Alligator mississippiensis: one gene and its partners. The protein of the gene in region 1 purifies or fractionates together with the protein of each later gene. This does not show direct contact. Links are inferred from orthologs where the notes say so. Each region holds a gene or a part of one and is shown in the gene's direction. Other genes may lie near its edges. The genes, in order: CHD4, ZNF512B, ZFHX3 and EHMT2.

Region 1 (7,840 bases):
TTGATACTCATTCTTTATTTCTCACTTAATTTGAAAATAACCCCCCTGCGTTAAATAACATTAAAATGTAGCCACATCTAGATGGCATTAGCAAGCACAAGACAGAGAACAGGGTGAAGACAGGATAGAGAAATACTAGTATACTAAGGTGAAACCTGTCTTTATTTGATGGCCAGTATCCAGTAAAAGCGGATAGGACTTTGAGGTTCAGACTCTTGACAGAAAAAGCTGCAGGTAGAGTATCTCTTGTGGAGCCTGGAGAGAGAAGGCACAGGGAGATCCCAAGCATGGAGGAGGACCTCAGTTAAACTCTGTAGCCAGGGATTTTAAATACACACAAAAATCTAAGGCAGTGGTTCTCAACCATGTTAGATTCAAGGTACCCCTCAGAAAATACCAGCTTAGTTTTCACTCATTTTTTGACTACAGAAAAGTAATAGAGCTATTCTTCTGTTGCAAAAAATGAAGCCACAACAGCTCTGACCACAACTGGTCAGAATGTTGTTGACACTATGGATTCCTATTTGAAATCTCGGAGTTTACCTTGTGAATCATGTTTTCACACCTAACATTGTGTGGCATCCCTTGGCAGCCTTGAAAGGATTTGAAGCACCCCAGGGTGTTGCAGCACCCTGATTGGGAATCATTCTTTTAAAACAATTATTTGAATAGAGGCCCTGCCATGGGTAACCATGGGGATACACAGACTACTTCCCCCAATGTCAGTCTTTGAGGGGGAAAGTATTATGGGGTAAATGGAGAACTGTGTGGCTGTTTCAAAAATGTACTCACCCTTTCTCCAAACTAATCACAGCCTTGATGAAGCAGGTTATTACTGGATTTTGCTGAACAGAACAATGTTAAAATGGAGTTAAGTATAAATCAATTTAATCTGATCTGGCTCTACAATGTTCCTTCATCATAAATGTTTACTTTAGCCTGTTGTCTCTACAGTGAAAAAACTTTGAGCCATGAAGAATAAAAACTGAGGTGGGGAATTACCATTCATTACAAAAATATAAACCATACTAATGTTTTGAATTCAGAATAATGAAAGATTTCAGTGAATGTTAGCTAAATGGAAAATGTGTGGAAAATGGAAATATTTTACCCATGAATTTGTTGTATATCTGTTTGATTTACATTATACCAGAGTAGCACACAGCCCACTCCAGGTCAAAGCCCCTAAGAGGGAGATTGTTACAAAGTATACATGAAACCAACTCTGGTAACTGGCTTTATTCAACCTCTGCCAGAATGTTACTTTTTAACTTGTTGATCACACCCCTAGAAGCTAAGATCTTATGGGTATATCTGGAATTCTATAATAACTAACTGTGCAGAGGGCTGGCCTGCCTGTTTACCATGGAGTTACACAGATCTCTTCAACAAATCACAACCTTAATAGAGAGTATTATGTGAAGTCAGTAGGTAAATGAGGGAATGAAAAACATTGTTGATGTCTGTGTATAAAATGTAGGGAATGGATGCTGCTGTTATTAGAAGATGTACGTATCTATACTTGATGACAGTATCACATATATTTATGTATAGAATGGAAGATGCATAGTATTCATGTTAATAATAAGTCTTAGTGCTTATACAACAGCTTTAATCTGTAGATCCTTAGATAAAGAATAATATTATTATCACTATGCAAGGGAGAAAACAGTGAGGTGAAGACCTGTGCTGTACGTGTATATTGATTACACAGATGAATAGAGTGTCATGGGACTTATATATGTACAAGAAGAAGGTGAACAGTGTAATAGTATTTGGGGTGTAAAATCAAGTTTGGGTAATAATATAAGAAGGATGTGCACGGAACTGGCTGAGATGGATCACGTAAGGGAATTTGTTCTTATAGTTACAGGATGTTGGAGCATATAATGGGTGCAATTAAGTATAATCAAAGATGGATAATACTATCAAATGTACATGCTAACAACGAAGGTCCTATTATAGAATGTCCATATATATATATATAGTGAAAGGTTTGCTAGCCTGATGGGATGTCCACGCATATAGTGGCAGGAAAGAGACAGTGGTAGGGAAAATCTGTGCATATAATGTGTGTATAGGTAGTATTATGTGATGTGTGGGATGAAGAACAGTTTGTACTGCAGTGTGGCAGTGTGTGTAACATGAAGGCCTTCAGCAGTATCCTGAGGATTCATGTGCTTCAGATACAGTATGGGTAAAATTGTGGGACATTTGTGCACGTAATGGGGGAGGAGGAAGGATGAATAGCATGATGTAATGGAGGATGGGTAACATTATGCAATGACCATGTATGTAACGAGTAGGATGGACAATATGGAATGTCTGCCTCAATAACTGGGAGTTGTGGAATGTCCTGGTAAACTGGAGCGGTTAATATTATGGGACATCAATAAGTACAATGAAGATCTGATATATTTAATGGGATGTCACTTTGTATGATGAGGGATTAATTATATTGTACGAAAGTATGTATTATTGGGTTATTTGTATTTTTATGGAATGCCCATGTCATTATAAAGTGATGATTAGTATGACTAGTAAGGAAAGGACAATGCTATGAAGCGTCTAATAAAAGATATCACATCTGCCCAAAGAACCTTGTCTGCTTATGTCCTTAGACCAGCACGGCTACAACCAAAAACCGAAAACTCTAAAGTGTCTCAAGCCTATAAACAGGAAAAATGTCTGTGTGTAATTGGGATATGGGGAGTTTTATGAGTGCCACTGTTTATAATGGAAGGATGCCTTGTATTATGGGCTGTGTGTGCCTGACCTGGGATAAATATTCTTAGAGCATTTACATGTATAAAATAAAGTGATTAGAGTTGGGATTGCATTCTGGGAAATCTGTGTGCACTGTGAAGGGGAAGTAGGGTGTTCTGCATATACTGGGAGGGATAAGTAAGTAGCATGCCAGTATGTACCATGGGATAACAGAAGGAAGGGAAGAATTACAATACGAGATGTTTGTATAGGGAATGAAAGGTGTGAACAGTAATATGGGATGTCCGTAACAACAAACATGCATGTGCGCGTGCACACACATACACACAGAAGCACTCGATGAATGCTGGAGTGTACAAGGAACAAGAAATGCTATCATGGGCAGTCTGTGTGTATACTGGGAGGAAGCAGGATACCATTATGGCACAGCCATGTTTCTAGCATGATGGGATGCTCGTGTCTGTGGCCAGGAGCAGCTAGCATAATGGGAGAGGGTATTTTTGTTCATTTGTTTGTTTTTAATTTATAGCCGAGGCCAAATTAACCAAAACTAATTCCAGATCCAAGAGTCCAGAACCATCAGTGGCTCTACTCCACCCACACTTCGGGCTTCAGATGTTTCCAAATCCTTTGGTAGGCATCCTACTTGCAGGCCCAAGCCTGGAGAGTTGGGGTTTGGATGTCCCTGAGTTTTGCCTGCCTTTAGCCAGAAGGCCCTTGGTTGCAAGGGAGGAGACTCCCATTTCCATAAAGTGGGCTTAAAGCCACTGCACCTCAGCAGGTACTGAACCACGCCAGAAGAGCAGTTCTCCCGGGGTGTGGTTCAGGAAAACTGCCTTCATGGACACAGATATATGATATTTCCCCTGCCAGGTTAAGAAGCCACTACACTTGTCCTGAGCCATGAAGAGGCTAGCACAATGGGACATGAGGTTGGTAGTGGTTCACAGGCACAGCTCTGCACCATGGGCTGCCATGCCTTGTGGGTGCAGTGCTGGATGCTGGACTCCCTTTGAAGAGTGGGTGAGCTGATGACTGTGAGACGTGTGCCTGGAGGTCAGCTAGCATGGGCTCGCTGCCTGGGTGCGTGTTGGAGGGGCGCTGAGCACTCTGGGGTATGTGGAGTCTGCATCATCTGGAGGCATAAAGAATCCTGGCAGGCTATGCCAGAGTATTATGGGCTGCAGGCTGGCCCCGTGCCCCCAGTGGTTACTATGCTCCACATACAAAGGCGGGGAGGGGGCCTGGAAGTGAGCGGTCAGGGGTACAAGGAGGTTGGTGGGCAGTGGAGGGGCCCAAGTACCGTGGGCTGTTAGCTGGCACCCTGCTCAGCCTGGTCCGCCTGCATGGAGGGGGGACATATGAATGCGATTATTATGGGCTGCTTGGCTGGAGTGAGGGAGCGGGCAGTGAGTGCGAGTATTGTGGGTTGTGGCTAAGAGTTGCTGAGAGTATTATGGGATGCCGGGCTGGACCGTGGCTCCCGGCTACTATTATGGGATGGCTGGCTGAACGCAGCATGGGTGGGGGAGGAGGTGGAGAAGGTGACTATTATGGGATACATATCAGGGGGCATGACTATTATGGGATGTTATGGGGCTATTGTGGCACCTGGTAGTAGGGGGCTTGAAGAGGGGGCAGGGCTTATTATGGGATGCCAGGCCAGGCAGTGACAGGATACCTCCGTGAGGGGGCGGGGGGTTACCGCAGGATGTGTAGGTGGGGGGGAGGAACTATTATGGGTTGGTGGGGGGTGGAGGTGGAGGTCTGTGGGGGGGAGAGTGTGGAGGTTATTATGGGATGTCTCGGGGAGGGAGGGTGAGGGTGAGGCAGGGGGCATTATCGTGGGTTGGTGCAAAGGAGTATTATGGGATGTTGGAGTGAAGGGGTTAGAGTGTGGGGAGTATATTATGGGATGTTTCTCCGAGGAAGGGTTCTATTATGGGATGTTCCTGATGGAAAGGGGGGGAGTTGATTATTATGGGATGCAAGGCCGGGCAAGTGAGTGGGGAGTTCTGAGTGGAGGGTAAATATTATGGGATGTCTGGTTGCCCGGGTGACAGGGGCGGGGCTCGTTGCCGAGGTGCCGGAGCATATTATGGGATGGAGGTGAGAGTAGGCGGGGCCTGGCTGGGGTTTTTTTCCCCCCTTTAAGAGGCGGCACCGGGGCAGGAGCCATTTTCCCTTCAGCGGCGGCGAGTGGGACTGGGTGAGGAGCCGGGAGAAGACGCGGCCGGGGGGGTGGCAGGGGGTGCCGCCCCGGGTCCCTCGCGTGCCCGCCCGGCGCCCCGTGGGGCCCCGCGCCCGGCCCAGCCTGCACGGGGCGCACCTGCCGCCCGGCCCCGGCCCCACCGCGACGCGGCACCCGAGCGCCTCCTGCCCCGCCCGCCCCCGCCGGCCTGGACGCGGCCTTTGTTGTCCCCCGGCCACGCCGCGCCGGCCGCTAGGGGCAGCCCCGGGGGCGGGGCCGGGGCCAGGGCCGGGCGGGGGAGCCCCCTGGGCCGGCGCGGCACGGCGTGGTCGGGGACTGGAGGCGTGGGCCGGGCCTGCCGACTGGCGCGGCTGCTGCCCCGGGCCCCTGGCGCTGGCCCCGGCCCAGGCCGCCTTCTCGTCGACAGGCAGAGCCGGCCCTGGCAGGCAGGCGTGCGCCCGCCGGCCCCAGGCGTCCCCTCCGGGCCGTGGCGCGGCTCCCGCCAGGCAGGACTCTGCTGCTCGGCTTCGTTGCCGGGGGAGGATGGGGGCTGGTACCCGCGCGCAGCCGCCCCCTTCCCAGTTCTCCAGTCCGCTCCCCACGTGCTGCGGGGGGGCAATCCCTTCTCTGCAGGGTGGGTCTCCTGCCGGCTGCTGTAACTTACTTTCCTTCTCCCTTTTCAGGAAGCTGACGGGCAGGAGGAAGGAGACAAGGCTGCACGAGCTGTGTAAGCCCTGGTGTCCCTGCTTTGGGAAGACATGGCATCAGGCATTGGTCCGCTGTCACCCTGCTCTGCTGGTAGCGATGATGATGAGATGGAGATCCTGCTGAACAACAGTATTCCTCAGCATCCAGGTATGGATAGCACTGTCAGGATCTCTGCTGCGGCAAGCTGTGGCTCTCTTCTGTCTTGGTCAAGTCAGTGGTGCTGTGGGAGACAGTGGCAGGAGAAACTTGTATTGTTCGGAGGATTTCGCGTCTGATTGGAATATTTGGGCCTTAATGGTTGTTTTTAAGAGCGGCTGGTCCTGCAGTTCAGTGAGGTGAAGTTTCTCATTGCAAGCTGTTGCTGGTGGGTGGGAACATGTACCCTGATGGAGCCACCCACCGCCTCTAGAAGGTGCACACTTCATGGCTGGCGGGAGGATTCTGCGTTGGGGCAGGGTGTCGGGTTTGCACTTCTTCACTTGGGAGCTTAGACCTGCTAGCGTCCAGAGCAAACTGCCCTGGGCTATTGCATGACCCAGTTTCTTTACCCACCACACCCTGTTCTCTCAGCTTCTCCTGGATCCTGCTCTGCTGCTCCCCTTAGCCCTCTCTTTGTTGCAGTAGACGTACTGACTGCAGTGTGGTTGTAGGATGCAATCCTCTGGTGTATTAACCTGCAGTCCCTGTATCTGCCTCTTCTTTGTAAACGTAGTCCACGTGCCTCACACAGAGACTGAGAGCTAAAGAGACTGGGATTTATAACTGCTACTTCATTCCCAGCATTGTTACTGTATAGATCTCTACCTCTTCTCTCAACCTGTAAAACAAGGATGAATGTGTATCCTGGAGTAGTGGGTTGTAAAACATGAGCCTGAATTTGCTTCTGAACTGCCTTTTCACGCCATAGGTGAAAGGTGGCAGCAAAGTCTTGTCAACAGAATGCCATGGTATGGCTTATTATGGCCAGTTTGTTTTTGGGGTCCTCCTAGTAGCTGCAGAGCTCTGGAGAAATCTCGAGGGACTGGGTGAGAGTGAAGCAATGGAAAGAAGCTGAAAAATGGTGTTCCAGCATCTCCTCCTGAAGAGGGTATCTGTGAGCCTAGGAAAAGGAAGCCTTGTTAGGGTCGGGGCCAGGCCCCTCATTGGTTAAGTCACTGGGAAGTTAAGAAGCTTGGGCAATGTACTAAATGGTGTAGGGACATCAGACAGTTCTAAATCAGAACTTGCTGGAGGGGTAGATTATGGAGCCCACACTTGTGGGTAGGATTCAGTAAATGTTGCTGGATGAAGGCATACTTATGTCAATTAGAAATGTGGCAAGAATACTCTCTCTGCCCAAAGATACAGGATCCCAGGCTGAGCACTTCCTTTCTCTCTTGTCCTTTGGTTGTTGTGACTTGTGGCTTCCCCCATCTGGCTTAGCTCCTGTGGTCAGGAGGCCATTTTCCCTTGGAGGGAGAGCGAGTGACTCTGTAATGGGCGGGGCGGCAGGGGAAGGCGAATGGTTGGACTGCTATGGATCTTGTCACAAAGGAAAAAGCTGTCTGGCTGTCCATGCTCCTCTGGGCTTTGTGTGGGGGGAGGGGGAACAGATGGGAGTGTGTGGGGGAGCTGGCAATGCATTACAGTGATGAGGGATTGAGCTTGCTGACTTGTGCTTGAAGAAGGGTTTGTGGATCCTGTTGCACTGGATTTCAGCGAGTTTGCCCTAAGCAGCAACTATGCAGGTGGGAGAGAGGCAAGCAGCAGATGACAGTTTTGATCTTTGCTTGCCATTGCAGGGTCTCTTGTGCTGAAAACATTTTTATGGGAGATCTTGGGATGGAGCCCATGCTCTGATTCCAGCCTAGCTGGTCCTTGGACTTTCTGCTGTGTTGTAGTCTGTCTATCCCAAAGACCAAGGTGTGGCTCCCTCTCTCTCTTCCTTTTCCCTCCCCCCACTTTTCTCCTGTGCCACTTTGCTGGCCACATCTGCAGGACTCGGCAGCCCACTTGCTCAATCTTTGCTATGTCTGCTGAGCTAAAGAACTTTCTAATCCTCAAATATTTCATGTGGCTCTGCTCAGAAAAGTGTCACTGAGACAAAAAGAGGGGATGGATAGTGATTTTTTGCGGGGGCGGGGGGGATGATAAGGAGGGAACACAGGGTGTATTGGAGCTATTACTCTCTTATTCAGTGTGGCATAATCTGACTAGCCAGACTTGTTTCGAATG
Region 2 (7,724 bases), on another chromosome or scaffold:
ACCCGTGTAGTGGCCGTGCTTCTCTGGGCCTCGGGTCCTTTACCTGGGCCAAGCCGACGCTAGTGCACAGTGCCCTCGAACGGGGAGGCATTGCCACGTCCCGGAGAGGGGAGTGCAACCCGTGCGTGGGTGGCGGTAATAAAGGCACTGCATGGGTGGCGCGAGTGGGACGCTGTGCCACCCTCGCAAGGGCGCTCTTGGCACGCCTGGATCAAACCTGCCGCCGTTTCTAGCCACGGGCAGTCACACCCGGCTCCGCTTTGCACTAGCCCGTGGGATGCACACGGGGAAACCGAGGCACGCTGCCTTCGGGGCCCTGCCCGTCCAGAGCCGGGCGAGGGCCACCGCGGGGCGGCTGGACGCTCGCGTGCCCGCTGTCCCGGGCGCGGGGGAGCTGGGGAAGGCGGAGCGGGACACGCTGCCGGGCGCTGCGGGGAGGGGGTTATCGGGGTGCGGGCGCGGGCACGGGCCGGCGGGGAAGGAATAACGCGAGAGTTGCAAGTTGCTTTTTCCAACCTCTTCTTTCCCGGCTGCAAAACTGGCAGAGGCGGCGGAGCCGGGGGGGAGGCGCTGCGTGTGTGCGGTGCGGGTGCGGGTGCGGGGCGGCGCGGGGCGGCGCGTGCCCGTCCGCCCAGCACCGAGGTAAGCACCGGCCGCCGCCCGGCCTCCCCCGCCGCCGCTCCCTCCCTCCCTCCCTCCCGCTCCCGCTGCCGCTGCCGCTGCCTCTCCTGCCGCTGCATCGAAAAGTCGCCATTTTGCTTCACTGCTTTTCCCCTCCCGGCCCCGCGGCCCCACGGCACGGCCCGGCACGGCACGGCCCGGCACGGACGGGGCGGCGAGCACGGCACGGCCGCACGGAGCGCCAGGGCCGGCCGGCGGTGGGGCCGGGACGCGGCCGGGCGCGGGAGCACGCGCAGGTGGGGCCGGGGCAGGTGGGGCGGGCTGCGTGGGATGCGCCCAGGTGGGCGGGTGAGTAGGGGACGTGCAGGTCGGATGCGCCCAGGTGTATGGGGGACGTGCAGGTGGGCGGGATGCGCCCAGGTGGGCGGGTGAGTAGGGGACGTGCAGGTCGGATGCGCCCAGGTGTATGGGGGACGTGCAGGTGGGCGGGATGCGCCCAGGTGGGGCGGGTAAATAGGGGACGTGCAGGTCGGATGCGCCCAGGTGTATGGGGGACGTGCAGGTGGGTGGGATGCGCCCAGGTGGGGCGGGTAAATAGGGGACGTGCAGGTCGGATGCGCCCAGGTGTATGGGGGACGTGCAGGTGGGCGGGATGCGCCCAGGTGGGGTGGGTGAGTAGGGGACATGCAGGATGGATACACCCAGGTGTATGGGGGACGTGCAGGTGGGTGGGATGCACCCAGGTGGGGTGGGTGAGTAGGGGATGTACAGGACGGATGCACCCAGGTGGGGTGGGTGAGTAGGGGACATACAGGACGGATGCGCCCAGGTGGGGTGGGTGAGTAGGGGATGTACAGGATGGATACACCCAGGTGGGGTGGGTGAGTAGGGGATGTACAGGATGGATACACCCAGGTGGGGTGGGTGAGTAGGGGATGTACAGGATGGATACACCCAGGTGGGGTGGGTGAGTAGGGGATGTACAGGATGGATACACCCAGGTGGGGTGGGTGAGTAGGGGATGTACAGGATGGACACACCCAGGTGGGTGGGGGACGTGCAGGTGGGCGGGATGCACCCAGGTGGGTGGGGGGACATGCAGGAGGGATGTCCAGGTAGGGTCAGGGCGGGTAGGTGACCTCCAAGTGGGGCTGCGCGGTGGGGACACGCAGGTGGGGCGCATTCAGTTGGGAGCTCCCGTGTGATTCCAGCCCGGGGCGGGGCAGGCGAGACCGGGCCGCCAGCTGGAGGCAGCGTCAGGCCGTGGCAGCTCCACCGTCACTAGACCCAGGCTGTCCCTGGGGGTCGGGGCGGCGTGTACCCTCCAGGCCAGGGAAGGGGCGTCTCTGCGAGACCCGTTCACTGTGCGCCGGCCAGGGCTGTGCATGCCCTGGGGTTATCGCCGCTCGTCACCTCTGGGTGCCTACATGCTCTCTCTGCCACTGCTTCGTGGCTGCAGGGGGGCGGCAAGAGTTGCTAGAGCAGAAACTGTAAAGCACCCTGGGCTTCCCACGCACCCAGAGATGTCCTCTGCGAAGGAACTTGGGCAGATTTCCCGCCCGCTCGAGGACACATTCGGTCCCTGCTCGGACAGCTCACGAGGAGACATGGAGAAACTTCCAGCCCTTCCTAAGCCAACGGGGCTTTTTGGTGGGTGCGTTTGCAACGGTGCTGCTGAAGAAGGAAGGAAATGAGTCCCTCAAGCGCGGTGTTTTGCGGAAAACGGAGGGGCGCGCAGCTCGCAGAGAGAGGGGAGGCTCTAAGAAAGTTACCGAACGGCAGATCGGCGCATGATTTGGGGGAGATGGGCGGAAAGGACTGCGAAACAGGAACGACGCAGGTCCAGGCCCGTGAGCCTTGCCCTGGGCCAGAAGAAAGGCTGTGCTCCGGAGTGAACGTCAGGCCTCTGGCGCTAACGAGAGCCAGGTAAATCCAGAGGCTCCCGCGGCTGCTCTCAGCTGCGTCCCTCTGTCCACGTGCGCCCGGCCTGCGCCCTCCTGCTGTCGGCTCGCAAGTTCTGCAGCTCGGGGCTCTTTTTGGCACGGAGCAACACGGGGAACATTTGCAGCAGCTCATAAATTATTCATCCTAAGTGAAGGAAATTGCCGAGGTCTCAGCCTGTTCTACATTAGGCATGTTCTTAACGATGTGGTTGGCACTTCACCCGGGAAGGGCAGGGGGAGTGGACCGTATTAAGGACCTGCAGGCCTCTTTTTTCCCCCTCTTTCCAGTCCTACAGATGTACTGGGGACTCTTAGATCCCAGCAGTTAGTGGCTGATGGCATCCACGCAGATAACCACGGGCCGAGATTGAAGGGACCAAACTCAGGTATAAATGGCTGCAACTTCATTCATTTGACCGGAGGCATTTAGCGGTGAGCAGAGGCTTTTCTGCACAATTTTCCCTCTGATGCGTCTTGTCCGATGGAGATTTTTAAGGCTTCCCGACGGCTTCCTTGGAATACCAATCTCTGGGTCTTGGCCACCAGGACCCAGGAAGCTGGCCAAGAAGCCTTGCAACTTCCAGTGGTAGGTCTGCTTACGATGCAGGGGAGACATTGCCCAGAACAATTAAGTAACTGCGATATGAGCTTTGCCTCTGTAGAATACATTGCACATCGATGGGACTCATGCCAGCTTATCCCAAGATGAACTTGACCCCAAAGGGACTGCATGACAGTGCGGCCTGTTCTCCGTATCCCGCTTCGTGCTGTCGAGCGAGAGCATCGAGGCCAGGCGTTTTTCCATGAGAACAAATTTGAAGTGTGTATGTAGGTTGTGTTGTCTCACGTGTCTCCCTCCTTGCTCCCACGTTTGGCTTCTGCGTTGTAATAACTTCTCATTGGACTCTGCATTTGGGGGCTTACCTCGTATCGACGCGCCTGGTCCTCGTGTTGGCCAAAGGGCGGAGGGGGGCGAGTTCAAGGATTAATCGGTTAAAATGCGCTGGTTCTGCCTGTTGCTTCTGGCAGGCTAGGACCAGATGCTTGAATTCGGGCTTCCCTGTAGCAGACCGGTGAGGTGTCACTTAATCACAGGCCTGACCCGCTTTTCTGCGCCTTGTGGGAACACCTGAATCGATCTCAGATGTCATTAACATGCCACGTCCCAGCACGACTGTATTTAGGGGCTGCTGGGCAGGGGGGATTTTTGTTTTGCTATTGTAAATTGAAACTGGCTTTCAACCCACCCTTAAGGAAGCAGAGGAGAGAGGTTGGAAGTCATCAATCGTCTTGATCTAGTGTGCGCGGGGAAATAAAAGGGAGACGTTTGGATATGCCGGGCTGGTTTCTGCTCTGTTGCTCTGGGGTGAGCACACTAAAAGCCACGGTGGGGTTGGGAGCAGATTTTTTGCCCTGCATAAACGGTATATTAGCTGGGATTTTAAGCTAAATTAAAGAGAAGGGCAAAGCTTTTAAAGAAGCAGCTGGGGAGGAAATAAAATCTGCGAGAGTTACAGAGCTGCAGGGCAGGGTTGGCTGCGAGGGGTGCGTTGAATGGAAGGAGCCGCGATTGTTCGGTGTTCAGGGTCGTTTTTCATTGAAGACACGCAGCGTAGCTTTTGGATGCGAAGTTTTTCCAGGTGCCAGCATATCTCCTGGCCCAAAGCTCCTCTGCTGTAATTTGTCATCTAATTAGGAGTTCAGTTAAGCATGGCAGTGTCTTAGGCCTGGTTTTACTGTGGGATTTGGTCGTGTGTCAGGAGTTTTGTAGGCTGCTTCATGTGTTTGGAGTGACCTGCTTCTTCCAGGGCCTGGGACATGCATCCTCAGCCTGGGGTCAGGCCATTTCATTGCAGCTTTAGCCCGGCTGGAGCTAATATATGGAGAGTCCTTCCTGGGATTTTTGCCAGGTGGGGTCACGATCCTGAAACAGGTATAGAGTAAGAGTGGGGGTTCGTCCTGCTTCTGTGCTCAGCCCAGCTCCTCTCTCCTCCTCCTTCCTGAGCCTTGCTTAGCCCCCGTCACATGAAGCTTCCCCAGCGTGTCGCACAGCGAGCCGTGTTCACGCAGAGCGTCTGTGACAGCCGGGGAAGCCCCGACTCCCAGGCCCCTGTTCTAAGCACTGGACCACGCTGGCCCCCGTGCACCAGTTGCAAGGGAAACGTTGCAGTCTGTCAAGTAAATAATAAGCTCTTAATTCTAAATGATCAAAGCATGCACATTTCTGCCATCAACACCGAGGTTTTATGGTCTAGCACTGTGGTTTTTTCTACCTTTTTTCATGTGTGGGCTCCTAAAAAATTTCTAATAGAGGTGCCAGACCCCTTTGAGTTGTCAGCGTGCATATTCACCTACTTTTGCTTCATCGTAGTCACCTTTTCCAGACCCCTTAGACATAGCCTGCAGACCCCCCGCAGGGGTCTGAGGACTATAGGTTGAGATCCACTGGTGTAGTACATGTCTAATTAAAACATGGCATCAGTATTCAGTAACACACCTGAACTGTACTGCTCTGGGAAGTGCTTTGAATTGTTACACCGTCTTGTGTTCACGGCTGAGACCAGCCATGTCAGGTTTTCTTGCGTTAAGTCTTTATTTCGGTGCCGTGCTGTTCTGTCTGTCTCCCCGTCTGCCTGTGTGTATGTAGCCAAGGAAATTAAATTCCAAAGCAGATCTATGTAAGCAATATCCCAGGTTGGGGATGAAGTTGCAGTGAGCACATACCTCAGTGGTTTCCTTCGGTATTCTGTCACATCAACACAAAAAACCCAACCCTGATTTTCTTCCTCATCTTGGTTTACCCCCTCCTTTGCATTTGCTTTCTAAGGATGACTGCACTGCGAGGTGTGTTCAAGGGATATAGGAAAGTAGGGCTGCAAGGGACCTCGTGAGGTCATCTCGGCCGGCCCCAAAGGGGTGCAGCACACAGTAAGAAACATTGGAGGAAAGGGAGTTTATTGATAGCGTTGGCTCTAGGTTGGGGCTCTCGGGCTTGTGCTTGCTCAGCGAGGGACCAGGTGTGACGCCGGGGGAGCTGGGTGCACAGACAAAGGGACTCGACACTGCTCCAAGTGAGCAGGCCAAACAGATCCCACGCAGGGTGTCTGGGCACCGTCTGTGGATCCAAGCCCATTCAGGGGCTGGGACGATGCAGCTGGGGCTGGTCCTGTTTGGAGCAGGGGGTTGGACTAGATGTGACCCCCTGAGGTCCCTTCCCACCCTCATTGTCCATGAGTCTCTGATAGGGATAACTCGATAAATAATTGTTCGATGGGAGACTCGTGTGTTGCTTGTACACAATCATGCCCTGCCCTTTCTCCTTCTTGTCTCCTAGCCTGGAAGATCTAAGTTAGTGGGGTGAGGACTGTCGGATGCTATATATTTGTGCAGTGCCTTGCACACCAGGGCTGCCTCCACCTGCTGCTGGGATCAAATCGTAGATAAAGCTCAAAGAAGCACACCAAGAAGCTCAGCTGGTGGAAGTCACGGTGCCTCTGCTGAGCTCCAGGCACCCGAGAAGGTGGAGACGAGACTGGGATGTCTCACTCGATCGGAGGATGACTAACCCTGGTGTCTGGGAAGATGACTAATCTTTCAGTACCAAAATTGCAAGCGGGAGAGTCTCGGAGCATTACCCGGTGTCCCCAACGTGGCTGGCTTTCAAGCCCAATGCACTGTCCTTGGCCACATAGAGAGTCCCATTAAGGACTCTCGGCTTCTTCCAATTCCATGTGTCCCCGTGTGAGGAGCGATGCCCTGGACATCAAAAGCATGCGTGAGTTGATGCCTGCACACCTTGTAGGATCAGATATCCAGGCTCTTAAGTGCTTTGCAGCTTGTCCAACAGCCCACCCTCCAGAGAGGGGCTTGCTGACCCGCAGGGGGCTTGCTGAATGAGCAGGGATGGGCTTTTTCTGGTTCTTTTTGACTGGGTTTCGGGCAGATGGAAGCAGAAGCAGCAACGTTGTTGGAGGTTTGGGTGTTGAGTCTAATCCGTGGCTTTGAGGGTGAAGTGGTTTGGCAAAGAGCAGAATGGCAGTGATCTCGCCAGGCCTCAACACACTGCTTGAGCAAAAGGGTGCACTTACCAAGTTGCACGTGAGCTAGCAGGAAGCTGTAGACCTTCAGGCCAGAAGGAATCGTTGCAGTCGTGTGCCCCCCGGCTAGAGCCTGCCCCGTCCGTGCAGGTTGCTGCCGGGGGCTGAGAGAGGAAGTGGCTGGGTACCGATAAAGCCACGGGGGCTGAGGAGTGGGGAGGGTCTGCGGAGGGTGGGAATTGCAACACCTCTGCTAGAAGGAGACGGTTGCTGTCGGAGAGGGGATGAACAACAACACCCTGCCCCTGCTTCAGCTCCGAGGAAGTGGCTCCGTGCATCAGGGCTCGGCGACAAGCAAGGATGTGGCTAGGCAGGCTCAGGGGCTATAAACGGCCTCCAAGCCACGCTGCAAGATGTGGTTGGCTGTAGAGCCAGCCAGGTCAGGCTCTGCCCGCTGCCCTTATCCCACCCGCGCGTCAGAGCCCAACACTGCTGGTCGTCATCTGTCTCTGCTGAAGCCAGTGGGGAAATTCCCATTGATTTCAGAGGTGCAAGATAAGGGAGCCTCTGGTCCTCTTCAGAAAACTGCCCGGTGGGATCATAACCCAGGCAAGGACTGGCACCAGGAGAGGAAATGGAACTGGGACAAAACGGGGGGACAGCTCGTGCCTGATTTCGGGACGTCTGGCACCGTCCTGGTTCTGGAGTCTAGTCGCATTAACTAGCACCCAGTCTTTCCAAACACGCTGTGCTTCGTTGTCTGTATCTAACGCGTGGAGGCGCAGGGCGCGTTGGGAGGTTAGTTGCGCTATGCATGTTCTTTATTTCTGAGCAGATGTGGCCGGCAGATGTGCCACGAGGGGCCCCGGGGTCTCCAGGCTGCCTCCGTTTCTGCTGTTCTTCTTGTTCACTTCTTGCATATCGTTAAGTTCTTTTAACACCCCTAAAAAGTGGAAGTTGGCAGCGCGTTCCTGTGTCCTTGCAAGCTGCAGGATGTACAGGGCTGGAACATGGGATTCTGTGTCCCAGGCTGGCACCGACTCGTCGGATGTTGTCGGGCAAGTCACCGAAGCGCCATGTTCCTGCAGGATGGATGTGCCAGCCTGTCAAGGCCATGGGTCAG
Region 3 (7,844 bases), on another chromosome or scaffold:
GTATAAATGAAATGCAGGGCTCTGCTAATGAACAGCACACTCACTTCCTTTGTGCACTCCCCTGAATTAACTCCACAGCACTCCATCAGGAGAAGCTTTAGTAATAACATGCATCTTGGTCAGTGAACTCAGGCTCTGGAACACCTTCCAGAGAGAGCAACCTTTATTTAAGTTGGCAAAAGGTGGACTTTGGCAGAAGGGCGTCACCTGAACTCAGTATCCTGACAGCATGTACAGAAGTAGCCACTTCTATGACAGTGATGGTCCAAATCATGATGGTGTCTTGTTACAATCAACACCTTGACATTCCTTTCTTAATCACATGAGCAGTCACATTCTGCTCTTGTCAAAGCTTCTGAGCTGTCTCAAAGGACAGTCTCCCAGAGAAAAGTGTGTCATGTTTTTGGCTGGTTTATTGCCAAGGCATAGACTCTACATTCACCCTTATATATCAGCTCTAGAAATGTAGGGCTGGAAGCGACCTCCCTGCCAGTGAGTCCAGTTCCACATTACCTATACTGTAGCCTCTCCATATTTAACTAGCCCTGATAATCTCATAAAGCAGGGATGGCCAACCAATGGCACTGGCACACAACAGATAGAGGAGATGGCAGGTAGCACAGCGGCAGACTGGGTAGGGAGCAGAAAACAGAGCAGCAGATTGGGCAGGGGAAGGGATTGGAGTGGCATGTAGGAAGGGTGCAGGGCTTAATGTTGGCATGCCTGCCAAAAAGTTTGGCCCCCAGTGTCGTAAGAAAAGAATGAGCCTCTTTGTAAGATCAATTAGCATAAATGGCTTATCAATTCAAATCTGAATTTGTAATTCAAATGTCCCCTCATAAGAAGGAAAAGAGACCGTAGCACACCAGTATGGAAGGGGTCACAACATAGTTATGAATTTCTGTGATAGCTGTTTAATCCCCAGGAAGCGTTAGCTCTTTATTTCCAAGACCTATGACATATCAGAAGACTTAGGATTTGCCTATATGTGGAAGTGGGTAAGAAGTAGTGTGAATTTAAAAGGAATACTTTTCTGCATTAATTCTCTATATGAACGTTCTGCACAGAGGGCTGAGTGTGGTTTAGGTTAATCCCGGAAAGGCACTCACAGTACAGAATAACGTGTCCGCATGAGGAAGTAGTGTGGAATAGCGTATTGTGTCTTTATCTGCACCACAACTTATCCTGCACTAACTTATCCATGACAGGTTTTAGGAAAATAGCCACTCCCGTGAAAAGCTGCACTTACCATTGACTTTTTTAAACATTCCATACATGTTCTCCAGGTAATCATGGTCTAGAAACCAAACACTGTCATCTTTATCATCCTCATCAAAGGGAACTGGAAACAAAACAGAGCTCAATATTTAGTAGTTCAAATTTTAGTCTGAATGCTTCCATAGAAAAAAAGTAAAATTTGTTTCACAAGTCCTTACATGCCAACGGGGAAAAATAATTTATTTTGAATTGACAGAGTTCAACCACTCTGCTCTATTGGGCTGCACAAACTGCTATAAAACTGAACGGCAACGTTAACAGATTCTCTCACAGAAAGGTTTTCTGATAATTACAGAATCACTTGATGACACAAGTAAAAGCAAGGCAACAGAAAAAAAAAAAAGCAAGGCAACAAGATGACGCAAGTAAAAGCAAGGCAACTTGTCAGTTTCTTTGGGTGGGCAACAAAGTGTTTGGTAGTAAATGAAACAATTCATATTGGAGTAACTGACTCAATATTGGTGGGAAAGGACTTCTGATAAAGCAAATTCAAGATCTTAACAGAACATGATAGCTCGCTGGATCAGAAGTTTGTATAATGTAAAAGGTAGTCTTCTGTATAAGGTGAATTAAGATGAACAAGCTAGACTCCTATGAAGTCTATTAAACATAGAAATCGGAGAAGTACGGCTGGGAGGGACCTCAAGAGGTCATCGAGTCCAACCCCCTGCCTGAAGTAAGACAGGTCTTGTGTCCCACAGGGGGACTGAACCTGTGACTGGCATTATTAGCACCACCTAACCAACTGAGCTAATCAACCACTCATCATTCTTGCTCTTAAATTGTAGCTTTTAAATACAGCTACAATTTAAACAAAATGTAACAGTATCCTTACAGGCCAAATGTAATTAGCTTGTTGAACTCTCACTGGGCACTGCTTGAGGAAAAGAGCTGAACTTTAAACACAATATTGGATCTTCCTATAAATATATAGCATCTCATCTAAAATAGCACCTGCTGGGGTACAACTCAAGTTACAAAATAAACACTTGTTTAGGGTAAAAAAGAAACCTCCAGCACGAACGTGAAGTAGAGCTGCTTCTGAAGTGTTGTGCACTGGATACTGCTGGGGAAAAGATGTAGAACCAGACTAACTGGAAAAGGGACTGTTTTGTAAGCAGGTAATTAGTATTCTTTGTGGCAAGGTAAATACCAGCTTTTTGACTTGATAAATGGCAAGAAGTCTTGTGGTCCACCTCAAACCAGCATCTAAGAGTCGGTATAGCCGGTAGACTGATGGGCTGTGAACAGGACAGGTCACACACTCACCTGCAAAACTGTTGGACACGTCTAATATTTTCTTCTGCCAAGAGCCCAGCAACACACCGACAACTCGCTTCTGATTCCCAACCTTTCCTATTCTAAAAAGAAAAGGCTGTCAGTTTGAATTATGGAGAACGTCTCAAACGCAAAAGAAACACCAGTGGACCAAACTAATTCATTCCACCATCTCAGTTTTAAAATTGGAAAAAACAGCACGGGTGTGGAGAGACCGGAAGTCGAGAAGGAAATACTTGTTCTGCATTGCTTACACCTAAAGAAGTCATTACCATGAGCTTTAAACCAAAGCTCTAATCTTATAATGTAATCACTCATGGATCAAACGCACGGACGCGTCCGCGCAGCTAATGGATGCAAGTGGTGGAAGTGAATAGAAGGCAACTACTGCATCTCTCCAGAACAGCAGATTGTAAAAACTGAGTCAACTTTCAAATTATTCAGTATCATCCATCATATATTTTTATAACGGTATGTTTTTCTGTTGCTGTATGTTGCCTTGAAGGGGAGAGAGGGGTGTTTTTTGGGTTTTTTTAACATCAGAAGTACTTGTCAGTTGGTGCAATTAAGTTAATTTAGGCACACTGAGCACAAATTGCACTAGACGTTTAGAGGAATATAATTTTATTCTCTGCCGTGCAAATTGTAGCTTTAAGCATAAAATTTGTATAGACCAGACAGATGAAAAGTGCCACATTTTCAATATGCTGAAAAACGATTCTTTTAAAGTCAGTCAGTTGTACCTAATAAAACGGTATTTATAACTCGTTAGCAATTTCACAATATTTGAACATTATTTTAACTCTTCCTGTTCGAGAAGAACAAATCGAATCTATTTGACAATAGCTTTTGCTTTCACACGAGCAAGAACCGTTGTGGTTGTAACTCGCTCGATTCCCAGCGTCGCACCCTGTAACAAACCATGTAAGCAGTCCCTGCTACGCCGCGCTGGCACCGCTGACTCCACGTCCACCATCCCATTTAACGGACTGGCTGTCCCAGCCCTTCGTCTACCGTGAAGACTATTACAGCTGCGTCTTACTTTGCCATAAGAAACTACCCCGCTAGTCTTGAGCTAAACGGGACGCCCGTGCACGCGGTTCCTACCGCAGGGACCGTGTGCTAAGGTGATATTTGGTCCCAAATCTGCACTCGCACAAAACGCAAAGTCATCTGCGTGCATAATCCGGGACCAAAACCGCACGTATGGGCGGCCACTGCCCAGCGGTTTCCACCCTGTGCGCCGCAGGGACCCGCAGGTTACGTCTACGGGGGTCGGCGAATGAAGACCACGATCAATTAAAAGCACGTGAATACCCACGCTTACAATTCAAGGGGGGCTGCGCCTCCGTGGGAACTTTTTTAGGGGTCTGCAAATGAAGAAAGGCTGAAAAACCCTCAAAGTTAGACCACTTATTTTTCATGAAAGCAACCGATCGGGGAAATCCAGCGTGGCGAGCCTGGCGCGGAGTTTCTACGCGCACCTACGGGGCCGAGCGCTCGGGTATGAGGCGCACGGAGCCTCAGACGTGGTTGTCCGTGCGAGGAGCAGCGAGACGAGGGTCGTGTCCAAGTGTCCAGGGGGGGGTTGGAGCCCTGCGCCGGGTCCGGGCGCACACCGATGCGGCGCTCCGTGGGGCCCAGCGCCCTTGGGCACCCTCTTGTGGCCGGGCGAGCGCAGGGGCTGCAGCACCCCACGAGGGCAGCACCCCACCCCGGCTGCCCTCAGGCCCGGCCTGCCTGGGCCCGCGGAGGGAGCAGGCCGGGCCCGTGACTCAGCGGCCGCGCCGGGGCCCGGCCTCACCTGTTGAAGTGATCCACCACGCTGAGCAGCACCAGCGGGTGTACCACCACCCGGTCCACGGCCAGCTCCGGCATCGCGCCCCCTGCTCGGCCCGCTCCGCCGCGTCTGTCCGCCCGCCCGTCGGTGCCCGCGCAAGGCTAGGCCCAGCTCCCCTCAGCACACTCCCAGCCTGCACCGCGCCGGGGCGGAGACAGCGCGACGCCATCTTGGGGAGGCGGGGTGGGAACGGGGAAGAGGGCGCCATCTTGGAGAGGTCAAAAGAAGGGAGGAGTTGAAGCGCCATGTTGGGGAGGGCGAATGGACGCCATGCTGGGGAGGGAGGAAAGGCGAGCCGGCGCCATGTTGGAGAGGTCAAAGAAAGGATGGAAGCGAGGCGCCATCTTGGGAAGGGCACAACAGCCGTTGCGAGGGAGCCCCGCCGCCATCTTGTAAGTCGGCGCCGTGGAGCCTCGGCCTGCGCCGCCATCTTGAGAAGGTCAGTGAGGCCTGTGAGCCTCGCCCCTCCTGAGGTGGCGGGGGGAGCCCGGAGGTGTCCCGCCTCCCCCGACCCGACCAGGTGTGAGGAAATACTGCCATAACACGAGGCTAATTACCCTGTACTTACCTAGCAAGTGTGATGCTGCGACGACGATTTTGGCTGAGGCGGTTTCACCGAGGTGGGAGGGGAGATGCCCTCGAATGCCGTCGGGTCCCCTTCAGGTGTCTGTGGTGCCTCTCACGCGAGGTCTCGCCTTTGCGGGGACGGGGGATTACTCCTGGGCTTTCCTCACCTGAAGACTAACGCCTCCGCGCTCGGGGCTGGCGTGTCGGATGCCCGCCGCGGGTTTGGGAGTCCGCGACGCCCCAGGCGGAAGCGTCCGGGGGGGTTGGCCATCGTAGAGGACAGTCCTGTCGCCGTCTGCTGATACCAAACCGGATGCCTTTAGGTCTGCTATTTTTCTCCTGAAGCCGTGGGTTATTCTCTTGAAACTCTGCCATTCTGCTGGGGAAAACCCACCCAACTGGACGCCTTTACGCCCGCTATTTTTCTCTTGAAGAGAAGACTAGAGGACAGAAAGGCATCTGGTTTCGTATCGGTAGAGGACAGGGCAGCAGGAAACGGGACTGTCCTCTGCGATGGCTGCTGGCCCGGGAGGTGGGAGGCTTGCCCGCTCGACGACTGACCTCTGCTCAGCTGACACACAGAATTTAAAACTCATCTGGCCGGTTTGGCCCAGGACACAAAATGAAAAAAAACCCCGTGTTTATACAGTCGTGAGCAATTGACAACTATTATATTAACGATCGATTACCTCATGCAGCATTATACACTTTCGAAGTGCTGTATTAGAGTTAAGTAATCACTCAGGGTAGATTTCGTAGCTGTCGGGGCTGAAAGGGGCCTCGTGAGAGCGCCGGGTCTAGCCCTTTGCCCGAGGCGTAGGAAGTCAGCTGGGGTCAGATCGCCCCAGCAAGATGAGCATTCAAGTGTTGCACTGATGTACCAATAACGATTTTCTTGGCTGATACCGACGGCCGATTATTAACCAGCTGTGCCAGCCGATACCGATCCAATAGCTGATTTACAGGAATGCAGCGGGCAGCTTGCACAGCAGTGCTCTGCCAGGGAGGCCGGGGGGGAGGGGAAGGGGCAGATTGCAGCGAAGGAGGGAGTGGGGCAGGGGCAGGGGCAGGCGCTGCACAGCCAGGGCGGTGAATGGGACCCCGGGGCAGGGCATGGGCCACTCATCCAGGAGGATGGGGAGGGGGGCAGTTCCCCACCACTTCATGCAGCCCCAGGGTAGGTATGGGGGCATGTGCCCCCCCCCACCCCTGGATTTGTGTGTGGGGTGGGAGCGGGCTGCCCGCTGCTGTTTGGGCCAGGGTCTGTGCCAGTCTCTTCCCAGCGGGGGGCTTTGGCTGCACAGGGTTGGGGGGGTTCAGCTGCATGGGGTGGGCGGTGGTGGTGCTGGGAGGGGTGGCTATGGGGGGGGGTTATGTTGGGAGGGGAGGCTTTGGGATGGCCGTAGACCCCAAGCCTCCTCCAGGGCCGCCCCTCCCAGTGCTGCTGCCTGCCCCATGCAGCTGAGCCCTCCCCACCTCTGCCGCCCCCAGTGCAGCCCCGGCTATCTTCTCCCCCTCCCCTCACTGGGAAGAGGTCAGTGTAGCCCCTGGCCCTGAGCCCACAGTGGGCAGCCTGCCCTTGTCCAGTGCACAAATCCAGCGGGCACGTGCCCTCCATGCCTACTCTGGGGGTGCACACAGAGGTGGAGAGCTGCCCCCCCAGTGCCCCCTCGACTAGTGTCCCACGCCCTGTCCCATTCCCTCCCTGCCCCACACCCCATCCTCCCACAGACTTATTGGCTGGATGCTGCACACAGCATTTAGCGGTGACATTATTGGCCAAAAAAACCTGATTGCCCATAATGTTAATTTTCCTGTTATCGGTGCCGATCCACTATGCGACTGATGTATTGGTGCACCTGTACTAATTACTCTTAGGAAGTGGTGAAGTCATGTATTGAATTTCATCAATTGAAATAAACACATAAGCTCAATACTGAAACAGGAGATTTAGGTTGGCTCTTAGGATAAACTTTACTATTATGGGGGAGTTAAGCACTGGAATAGATAACCTCTAGAGAGAGTGGATTTTCTGCCATTGGAAGTTTTCAAGAGCAGTCTTTTATTGGAATAATCTAGAAAGGGAAGATTTTTACTTGAGCAAAGATTGGCTATGGGGCCCTTTTGAGGTCCTTTCCAGCCCTTTTTCCCCTGAGATTGTATTACTTAATATTTTTATTAATTTTTACTTTCACCTGCGGTTGGTCTTTCCAGTGACTGCTCTCAGCTTAGGTCACAGGGAAAGTGTCTATATTTGCACAAGCTCCTGTGTTATTGTCCTTCCTATGCTTTTTTATCATGAATGAAATGCTATAGCTGTAAAGTCACAGAACAAACAGGGCTGTACATGTTAGACATCATTTGACAGTTGCATATTTTCTATCTGATGCTTAATGAAAATTATTCATATTCCTTTTGTAGACATCGCCTATGAATGGCTGGAGAGGCTTTTTTCTGGTGACATAATAATAAAATTATAATTACTAATAATATTTGGTGCTGACAGTATTCTGGTTAAGAGTCTCAAGGCCATCTAAGATATTTGTTAATTAAACCACATGGCCCCACTGCAAGGTAAATTAGTATTCTTATTCCCATTTTATAAAAGGGGAAAGCTGAGGTATAGAGACGTTATTTGCCCAAGGTCATACAGGAAATCTGTAGCAGAACTGGAAATAAAATCCAGATTTCTTCCATCCCTGTGTTTTAATCACCAAGATTTACTTTGCTGTCCAGCTTCTCATAAGAAAAAAAAATCTATTATATTTTTTCTTCTTTAGAAATTAACTGTCAAGCAAAATCTACCTACACTAGTTCTAATACCCTTAACAAAATGAATTTGCAGCCTGTCCTTAATTCAGGCTATTGATAATCAAACTGA
Region 4 (7,512 bases), on another chromosome or scaffold:
TCCCACAATGCACCGGGGCAGCCCCGCCCCCACTTCCCACGCTGCTTTCAGGCCAACACAAAGCCTCTTCCCACAATGCACCACGCAGCCCCCCCTCAACCCGCCCCCCGCCCCCTTAAGACCCCCCCTCTCCCTTGTGTCCAATTTCTATCCGGCGGACAAATAACCGCCCCCCCTTGGTGGGCGCCCTGTCCCTTTAAGGGGCCCCGGCCTCGCTCGGCCCCTTTAATTCGCTCGCTCCGGAGCTGCCTCCCGGTTCGCAGAGGCGGGGGGAACCCGGCCCCCCCACGCGCCCGGTCAGGGGGGGCTGCGGCGGAGGGGGGCGTATAGGGGGAGGGGCTGGGGGGTATGCAATAGAGGGAGGGGCTAGGGGGGTGGTCGTGCCATGGGGGGAGGGGCTGGGGGGGTCCATGCAGTGGGGTGGAGGGGCTCCATGCAGCAAGGGGGAGGAGCAGGGGGTCCCACAATGGGGGGACATGCAATGGGGAGTGGCTGGGGGGGTCCACGCAGTGAAGGGGAGGGCTGGGACAGGGGTCCGTGCAGTAGGGGGCAGGGATGGGGGGGGTCTGTGTAGCGAGGGGGAGGGGCTGGGGTCATCCATGCAATGGGGCAGGGGCTGGGGGCTCCAGCTATTGACCCCCACCTTTCTCTTGCAGCTTCATCAGGTGCACCCCACTGTCGGCCACCTGGAGCTCTCCCAGCTGCCTGCACCCCCCTGCTTGGCCCCTCCTGGGCCCCCCCACCCCCATCTTCCCCAGTGCGTCCCAAACCCCATCTCCACTCTCCTGGCTCCCCCATTCCCTTCCAGCCCTGCCCCCGTCTCTGCCCCTCTCCTTCCCCCCCAGCCCCAACTCCTTCACCCATTTCTTGCCCCTGACTCCCCCACCCTTCCAAGCCCCCCCAAAACCCCTGTCTCAGCCCCCCAGGCCCTTCCAAGCCGCTCCAGCTCCCCCCAAACCCCCCACTTCCCCACAACCTGCCATCTTAGCTCCCCCAGAGCCCCTATCTCAACCCCCCCAGGCCCCTCCAGCTTTTTCCAACAGTGCCCGCACTCATCCAGCCCCCCGAACCCCTATCTCCTGCCCCCCAAGACCACCCACCTGTCCCCAGACATCTCCAAGCCCCCCAAACCCCTATCTCAGCCCCCCAGACTCCTCCCCAAGACCACCCAGCCTGCCCCAGAGCCCCTCAAGCCACTCCAGCTGCCCCCAACCCCCCCAGCCACTTCTGAACCCCCCTCAGACACATCCAAGCCCCCCCGTTTCTTTCCCCTAGACAGGCCTCTAGACACCCCCAAGCCGCTCGAGCTCGCCCACTCTCAACCCTCCCAGGTTCCCCCAAATCCCTATCTGCACTCATCCAGAGCCCTCGGGTCCCCATAGCAACCCCATCTCAGTCCCTCACCTCCCCAGGTCCATCCAACCCCCCATCTCGGCCCCTCCAAAGCCCCTGGGTCCCCCCAGCATCCCCACCCCGGCCCCCCAGGCCCCGTCTCTGGGCGCAACAATGGCATCGGGGCCGGAGCTGCTGCGCTTCCAGCTGCCAGGCCACGAGGCAGCCACGCTGCGCAACATGAACCAGCTGCGGGCCGAGGAGCGGTTCTGCGACGTGACCATCGTGGCCGAGAGCCTCAAGTTCCGGGGGCACAAGGTGATCCTGGCAGCCTGCTCACCCTTCCTGCGCGACCAGTTCCTGCTCAACCCCAGCTCCGAGCTGCAGGTCTCGCTGGTCCACAGCGCCCGCATTGTGGCCGACCTGCTGCTTTCCTGCTACACGGGTGCCCTGGAGTTTGCCGTCCGCGATGTAGTCAACTACCTGACGGCTGCCAGTTACCTGCAGATGGAACATGTGGTGGAAAAGTGCCGCAATGCCTTGTCCCAGTTCATTGAGCCCCGCATCGGCCTTAAGGAGGACAAGCCAGGGGCAGGCGGGGGCCCGCGCCCAGCCCCCTTGCGCCACACCAAACCGGCCCCCCGCAAGCCTCGCCCACCTGTCAAGCTGGAGCTGCGCCTGGCCGAGGAGCCTGAGCCCAAGGATGAGGACGATGATGACGAGGAGGATGACGGGGATGAGGATGCCGTGTCCGACATCTGCATTGTCAAGGTGGAGTCAGCCTATGAGGTGGCCCAGCGCCACCGCAAGCAGCACCTGCTGCAGCCTGCCTGGGCCAAGGATGGGGCAGCAGGGGCCAGCTGGGTCAAGGACGGGTCTTCTACCGCCAACTGGGTCAAGGATGGGTCTTCCACAGGCAGCTGGGCCAAGGATGGGTTGTCGCCAAGCAACTGGACAAAGGAGGGGTCATCGGCGGCCAACTGGACAAAGGAGGGGACATCGGCAGCCAACTGGGTCAAAGAGGGGTCAGCCATGGCCAACTGGAGCAAAGAAGGGTCTTCCATGGCCAACTGGGCGAAGGAGGGGTCATCGCCAGGTAACTGGGCAAAAGAGGGGTCGTCGCCGGGCAACTGGAGCAAAGAGAGGTCATCACCGTCCAACTGGGCCAAGGAAGGGTCGTCGCCGGGGACGTGGGCCAAGGAAGGGTCGTCGCCAGGGACGTGGGCCAAGGAGGGGTCGTCACCAGGGGCGTGGGCCAAGGAGGGCAGCTGGGCCAAGGAGGGCCCCGGTGACGGCGAGGGTGAGGACCCGGGCCCCGAGGCGGCCGGGCCAGCACCAGGTGAGCCAGGCAAGGCGGTGCCAGGTGTGGTGAAAGCCCGCTATGCCCTGGCAGAGGACACGGAGGGCGAGGGGCTCCTGCTGCTGCCCCCGGGGGCCTACCTGGAGCCCGGGCCACCCAGCGGGGGTGGGCACGGGGCCGGGGGTGCGGGCGGGGGGCCGGCGCGCTGTGCCAAGTGTGGCGAGGCCTTCCAAGGGGTGGAGAAGCTGGTGTTCCACATGCGGGCCCAGCACTTTGTCTTCATGTGCCCGCGCTGCGGGAAGCAGTTCAACCACAGCAGTAACCTCAACCGGCACATGAACGTGCACCGCGGCGTCAAGTCCCACTCGTGCGGTGTCTGCGGCAAGAGCTTCACACAGAAGTCCACGCTGCACGACCACCTCAACCTGCACAGCGGCCTGCGGCCCTACCGCTGCTCCTACTGCGACGTGCGCTTCGCTCACAAACCCGCCATCCGCCGCCACCTCAAGGAGCAGCATGGCAAGACTACGGCCGAGAACGTGCTGGAAGCCAGCGTGGCCGAGATCAACGTGCTCGTCCGCTGAGCCAGGGCTGGGTGGGGTGTGGGGGGCCCAGGGGCCTGGAGAACCCAGGTGTCCAGGGTCCAGATCCCGTAGCAGGTAGAGATCACAGGCATCGGGTGCCTGGACCCTGCTGTGGGTGGAGAACCCACACATCCAGGTGTCCAGATCCCATAGCAAGTAGAGAACCCAGGTGTCCGGATCCCATAGCAGGTAGAGAACCCAGGTGTCCGGGTGCCTGGACCCCACTGAGGGTGGAGAGCCCGGGTGTCCGGGGTCCGGATCCCGTAGCAGGTAGAAAATCCGGGTGCCTGGATGGCATGGCAGTGCAGAACCCACAGCAGACAGAGGACCCAAGTATCCAGGTGCCCGGACCCGCCATGGGAAGAGAACCCAGGTGTCCAGACCTCATAGCAGATACAGCAGGGGTTCCCAACCCCCGGTCCACAGCCCGGTGCTAGGATGGGACGGGCTGGCTGCCGGACCAGAAGTGATTGCGGACCGGCAAACTGCGGACTGGAAATGATGGGGATCCTGCAGACTGGCAGCCAACCCTTCCCTACGCGGAGTAGAAACAAGGGTTGGGGTTGGTCCGCAGTTTGCCGGTCCACGGTCGCTTGCCGGCCCTCAGCATAAGAAGGCTGGGAACCCTGCGACGGAGAACCGGGCGTCCGGTGCATGGGTGAGACCCCCGGTGCCCAGGTCCCGTAGCAGGTCGAGATCCCAGGGTCCCGACTCCCCGGCGGAAGGAGGCACCAGGCGTGCAGGAGTCTGGCCCCTGGGTAGTGCAGGTCCCGCGGCTGGAGAGGACTGGGGGGGGGGGGGGTGAAGCGGAGTTGAGGGTGTAATGGGGGGGCCCGGACGCCTGGGGTCTCCGGAGGGGGGGCGAGTTGCCATCAACCAAAGAATAACCACGTGAGCCCGCGGAGGGGCGGGGCCTGGGGGCTCCGGTAGCAGTAGCAGTAGTAAGAGGTATTACCCCGTGGTAGGCGGGGCTAGATGGGGCGGGGCCTAGACCCTGCTGGGGTGGGGGGCGGGCCTGGGCCCGGGGGGCGGGGCCATAGAGGATTAACCGTTTTTAGACTTTTTAACTTTTTTTTTAATTAAAATAATTCAAAAGGAAATAAAATTTGAGACGTTTTTATTGGGGGGGAGGCGGGGCCCGGCCGCTTGGGTGGTCTGCGGGGGCGGGGCCGGGCGCGGACGACCGGGGAGGGGGGGGCCCGGCACCACGTGGACCCGAACAATGGGCCGGGGGGGCGGGGCTCCGGGCGGGGCCGCGGCGCCTTTAAGGCTCCCGCTCGCCGTGACGTCAGCGTCGTGACGTGTCGCCGTCGCTCCACCCCCACCCCCAGCTCTGCAGCCGCAGCCATGGAGGCGGTGAGCGCGGGGAGCCGGCGGGGAGCGGGAGCCCGGGGGGGCGCGAGCCCGGGGGGGGTGGGAGCACCCGGCGGCCGGGCGCGGGGGGGGGGGGGACCCGGGCGTCCGGGCCGGGCGGCGAGGAGCCGGGACGCCGGGGTCCCGGCGGGGCTGGCGGTTGACCCACCCCCGCCCCCAGGAGCAGCTGCCGGAGGCGCTGGAGGCCGCCGCAGACGCAGGGGACGCAGGTGAGATGGGGGCACAGCCCCCCGCCCCCACTCCTCCTCCCAGCCCCCAGCCCCTCCCCCTACTCATCTCCCCCCCCCCCCCAGGGCAGCCCCCCATGGGCCAGGGCCCCCCCCCAGAGCCCTCCGCCCTCCTCTGCCCTGCCGAGGCAGGGGCCAGTGGGGACGAGGTGGCACCGAGGACCCAGGTGTCTGGGAGCAACAAAGAGCCCGAGGCTGAGAGCAGCCCCGCAGCCGGCGCCAGCCCCGGGGGCAGGGGGCTGCCAGGTGAGGGGCTGCGGGTCGGGGGTCGGGAGTGGGGGGCGCCGGCAGGGCTGGGGGCCGGGGCTGCGGGTCGGGAGTGGGGGGCACCGGTAGGGCTGGAGAGGGAAGGGAGCCAACTCCTGGGGACACCTGGGTCCTTGGCCCCATTCTCACTCCCTTCCCCCCCGGTAGGCCACGCTGCCAAGACCCTGCCGTCACCGCCAGTGGGGCCCGGGGGGCCCCCGAGCCGGGCCAAGATGTCACTGACCGGGGCAGGGAAGTCGCCCCCCTCGGTGCAGAGCTTGGCCATGCGGTTGCTAAGCCTGCCGGGTGCTGGCCCTGCCCCCAGCATGGGCCCCGCCCCTGCTGAGGCCCCGCCTTTGGCACCCCCAAGCCCGGAGCCCAAGCCCAAGGTGCACCGGGCCCGCAAGACCATGGCCAAGCCCGGCAACGGACAGGTGGGTGCCAAAATGCCTGGGTTTCCTCTGGAGGTGGGGGTCCCTTTGCCACATGGGTTCCTTCCCTAGCCTGTTCTTTGTGGGTGGGGGGGTCTCCCAGATGCCTGGGCTCTTCCCAGGGGTTCTGCGGTGGGATGGGGGGCAGGGGTCCCAGATGCATGTGTCCCATTTGTGGGATACATTTGGCTGGGTGTGGGGGGCAAGGGCTGGCAGAGGTTGGGGGGTGCCCCAGATGCTTGGGTCCCAGCCTGCTGCCCCCCCCAGGTGCCAGAGAAGCGCGTCTCCGAGATGCTGCACTTCCGCGTCTCCGACGATCTCCGTAGCATCGAGGAGCCAGGTATCTGGGTTGCGGGTCGGGAATGAGGGGTACTAGTGGGGCTGGGGGGGCTGCAGGTTGGAAGTGAGGGACACCGTGAGAGTGGCTGCCACCTCCCTCATGCCTTTGTATCCCCCCAGAACCCGCCAAGCGCCGGAAACTGGACTACGGCCCTGAGTCCCTGCACAAGCGCCTGCCGCCCACCTTGCCCCGTGCCAGCACTGAGGTACCTGCCCCATATGCCTGGGTCCCCTGAACCCTGTCCCCAGGCACCTGGTTGCCTTCCCTTCCACTGCATCCTGGACACCTGGGTTACCTACTCCTGACCCCACCGCTGCAATGTCTGGATCCTTTTTCCCTTGATTTTTCCCCTTCTTTCCTCATAGACACCTGGGTTTCCTTCTTCTGACACCCTCCCCTTGCACCTGAGCTCCCTACCTGGGAGCTCTCCCTCTTGGGCGCCTGGGTCCCCGTCCAGCTGGGAGCCTGGGCCGAGCTCTGACCCCCCCGCCCATTGCCCCCCAGATCACGGTGACGGAGGAGATGGCAGCACGGCCATTGGGGCCAGCGGGCGAGGATCGGGGCCCCGATGAGTGGGAGGCCGAGGTGGGAGCCGACTTCAGCCTCTTCTACGACAGCTACTCAGTGGATGGGCACAATGACTCGGACAGCAAGGTGGGGGCGCGGGGGCTGGGCTGGGCATAACAGGGACAGGAGCTGTGGATGGCTCTGGGGGACGGTGTCAGGCTAGGCCTGGACACCTGGATTCACCATGCTGGGCCCCACCCGCAGTCAGAGGCGGATGGGGCTGGGGAGCAGTTGAGTGAAGAGGAGGAGGAGGAGGAAGAGGAGGACGAGGAAGAGGAAGAGGAGGAAGACGATGAGGACGACGATGATGAGGATGAAGAGTCCGGGAACACCTCAGATAGGGTGAGGCCCTGGTGGGGTCGAGGTCACCAGGGGTGGAGCGGTGTACTCCAGAGCTGAGGCTGGATGGGGTCAGAGATAGGGAGGAGGGGCCTGGGGAGTGGGCTCAAGGGCTTAGATTGCGTGTGGATATGGGGTCAGAGGTCAGGCCTGAGCTCAGCAAAGGTCAGGGCTCAGAGTCTGGGGTGCATGGCCTGTGAGGGTGGGAGTCAAAGGCCTAGCATGGGAGCTTGGGTGTGCAGAGGTCAGAGACCACAGCTGAGGGTTTGGTTTGTGGAGTGTTGGAGACTTAAGGGGAGAGCGTGGCTGGGGTCACAGGGCACAGGTCAGGATGGGGTGGGCATTGGAGGTGGGGGAACTTCAGGGATTATGAGAGGGCCTGGGGGCTGTGGGTTGGGTGTGAGGGGCTTGGGGAGGGCAGGGGGCTGTGGACTGGGAGTGAGGGGCACCAGCAGGGCTGGGGGGTTGCCTCACCTGACCTGCCCCCCAGAGCGCATCAAGCACCAAGCGGAAGGCGCGGAAGCGCTGGAAGAGCGACAGCCCCTGGGTGAAGCCGTCACGCAAACGCAAGCGCAAGGACCCCCGCCCCAAGGACCCCCGAGGTGGGGGGGAGGGTTCTGGGTGTTCTGGGGAATGTTAGGAGGGGACTGGGGAGGGGGAGGATCCTAGGGGGGTTCTGGGTGCAGTGCCCCTGGCAGGGGATTTGGGGGGGGTCTCAGGATGGGAAAGTCAGATGCTGGGGGGCCCCCAAGAACTCAAATATCCCTCCTCT

What was found.
Region 2: the proteins of CHD4 (region 1) and ZNF512B purify together in Homo sapiens (affinity purification with mass spectrometry; 4 studies listed by BioGRID and IntAct, with this or other methods). This does not show direct contact. The link is inferred for Alligator mississippiensis from reciprocal best matches to the Homo sapiens genes CHD4 and ZNF512B.
Region 3: the proteins of CHD4 (region 1) and ZFHX3 purify together in Homo sapiens (affinity purification with mass spectrometry, with the first as the bait; 3 studies listed by BioGRID). This does not show direct contact. The link is inferred for Alligator mississippiensis from reciprocal best matches to the Homo sapiens genes CHD4 and ZFHX3.
Region 4: the proteins of CHD4 (region 1) and EHMT2 purify together in Homo sapiens (affinity purification with western blotting; 3 studies listed by BioGRID and IntAct, with this or other methods). This does not show direct contact. The link is inferred for Alligator mississippiensis from reciprocal best matches to the Homo sapiens genes CHD4 and EHMT2.

The regions. Positions count from the first base shown.
Region 1 is NC_081824.1:243,465,208-243,473,047, reverse strand, and holds the start of CHD4 (chromodomain-helicase-DNA-binding protein 4), read left to right. Parts: upstream 1-4,835; 5' UTR 4,836-4,936; intron 4,937-5,601; 5' UTR 5,602-5,676; coding exon 5,677-5,773; intron 5,774-7,840. UniProt on the Homo sapiens protein: ATP-dependent chromatin-remodeling factor that binds and distorts nucleosomal DNA. Acts as a component of the histone deacetylase NuRD complex which participates in the remodeling of chromatin.
Region 2 is NC_081832.1:2,817,272-2,824,995, reverse strand, and holds the start of ZNF512B (zinc finger protein 512B), read left to right. Parts: upstream 1-4,716; 5' UTR 4,717-6,293; coding exon 6,294-6,339; exon of another isoform or gene 6,340-7,724. UniProt on the Homo sapiens protein: Involved in transcriptional regulation by repressing gene expression. Associates with the nucleosome remodeling and histone deacetylase (NuRD) complex, which promotes transcriptional repression by histone deacetylation and nucleosome remodeling.
Region 3 is NC_081833.1:76,505,274-76,513,117, forward strand, and holds the start of ZFHX3 (zinc finger homeobox protein 3), read left to right. Parts: upstream 1-4,838; 5' UTR 4,839-4,916; intron 4,917-7,844. Other genes in the region: PSMD7 (26S proteasome non-ATPase regulatory subunit 7), read right to left, coding at 1,250-1,342, 2,548-2,639, 4,361-4,434.
Region 4 is NC_081834.1:62,582,776-62,590,287, forward strand, and holds the start of EHMT2 (histone-lysine N-methyltransferase EHMT2), read left to right. Parts: upstream 1-4,506; 5' UTR 4,507-4,563; coding exon 4,564-4,572; intron 4,573-4,750; coding exon 4,751-4,799; intron 4,800-4,883; coding exon 4,884-5,063; intron 5,064-5,231; coding exon 5,232-5,497; intron 5,498-5,761; coding exon 5,762-5,834; intron 5,835-5,953; coding exon 5,954-6,039; intron 6,040-6,338; coding exon 6,339-6,488; intron 6,489-6,605; coding exon 6,606-6,743; intron 6,744-7,230; coding exon 7,231-7,342; intron 7,343-7,512. Other genes in the region: ZBTB12 (zinc finger and BTB domain-containing protein 12), read left to right, coding at 1,507-3,216. UniProt on the Homo sapiens protein: Histone methyltransferase that specifically mono- and dimethylates 'Lys-9' of histone H3 (H3K9me1 and H3K9me2, respectively) in euchromatin.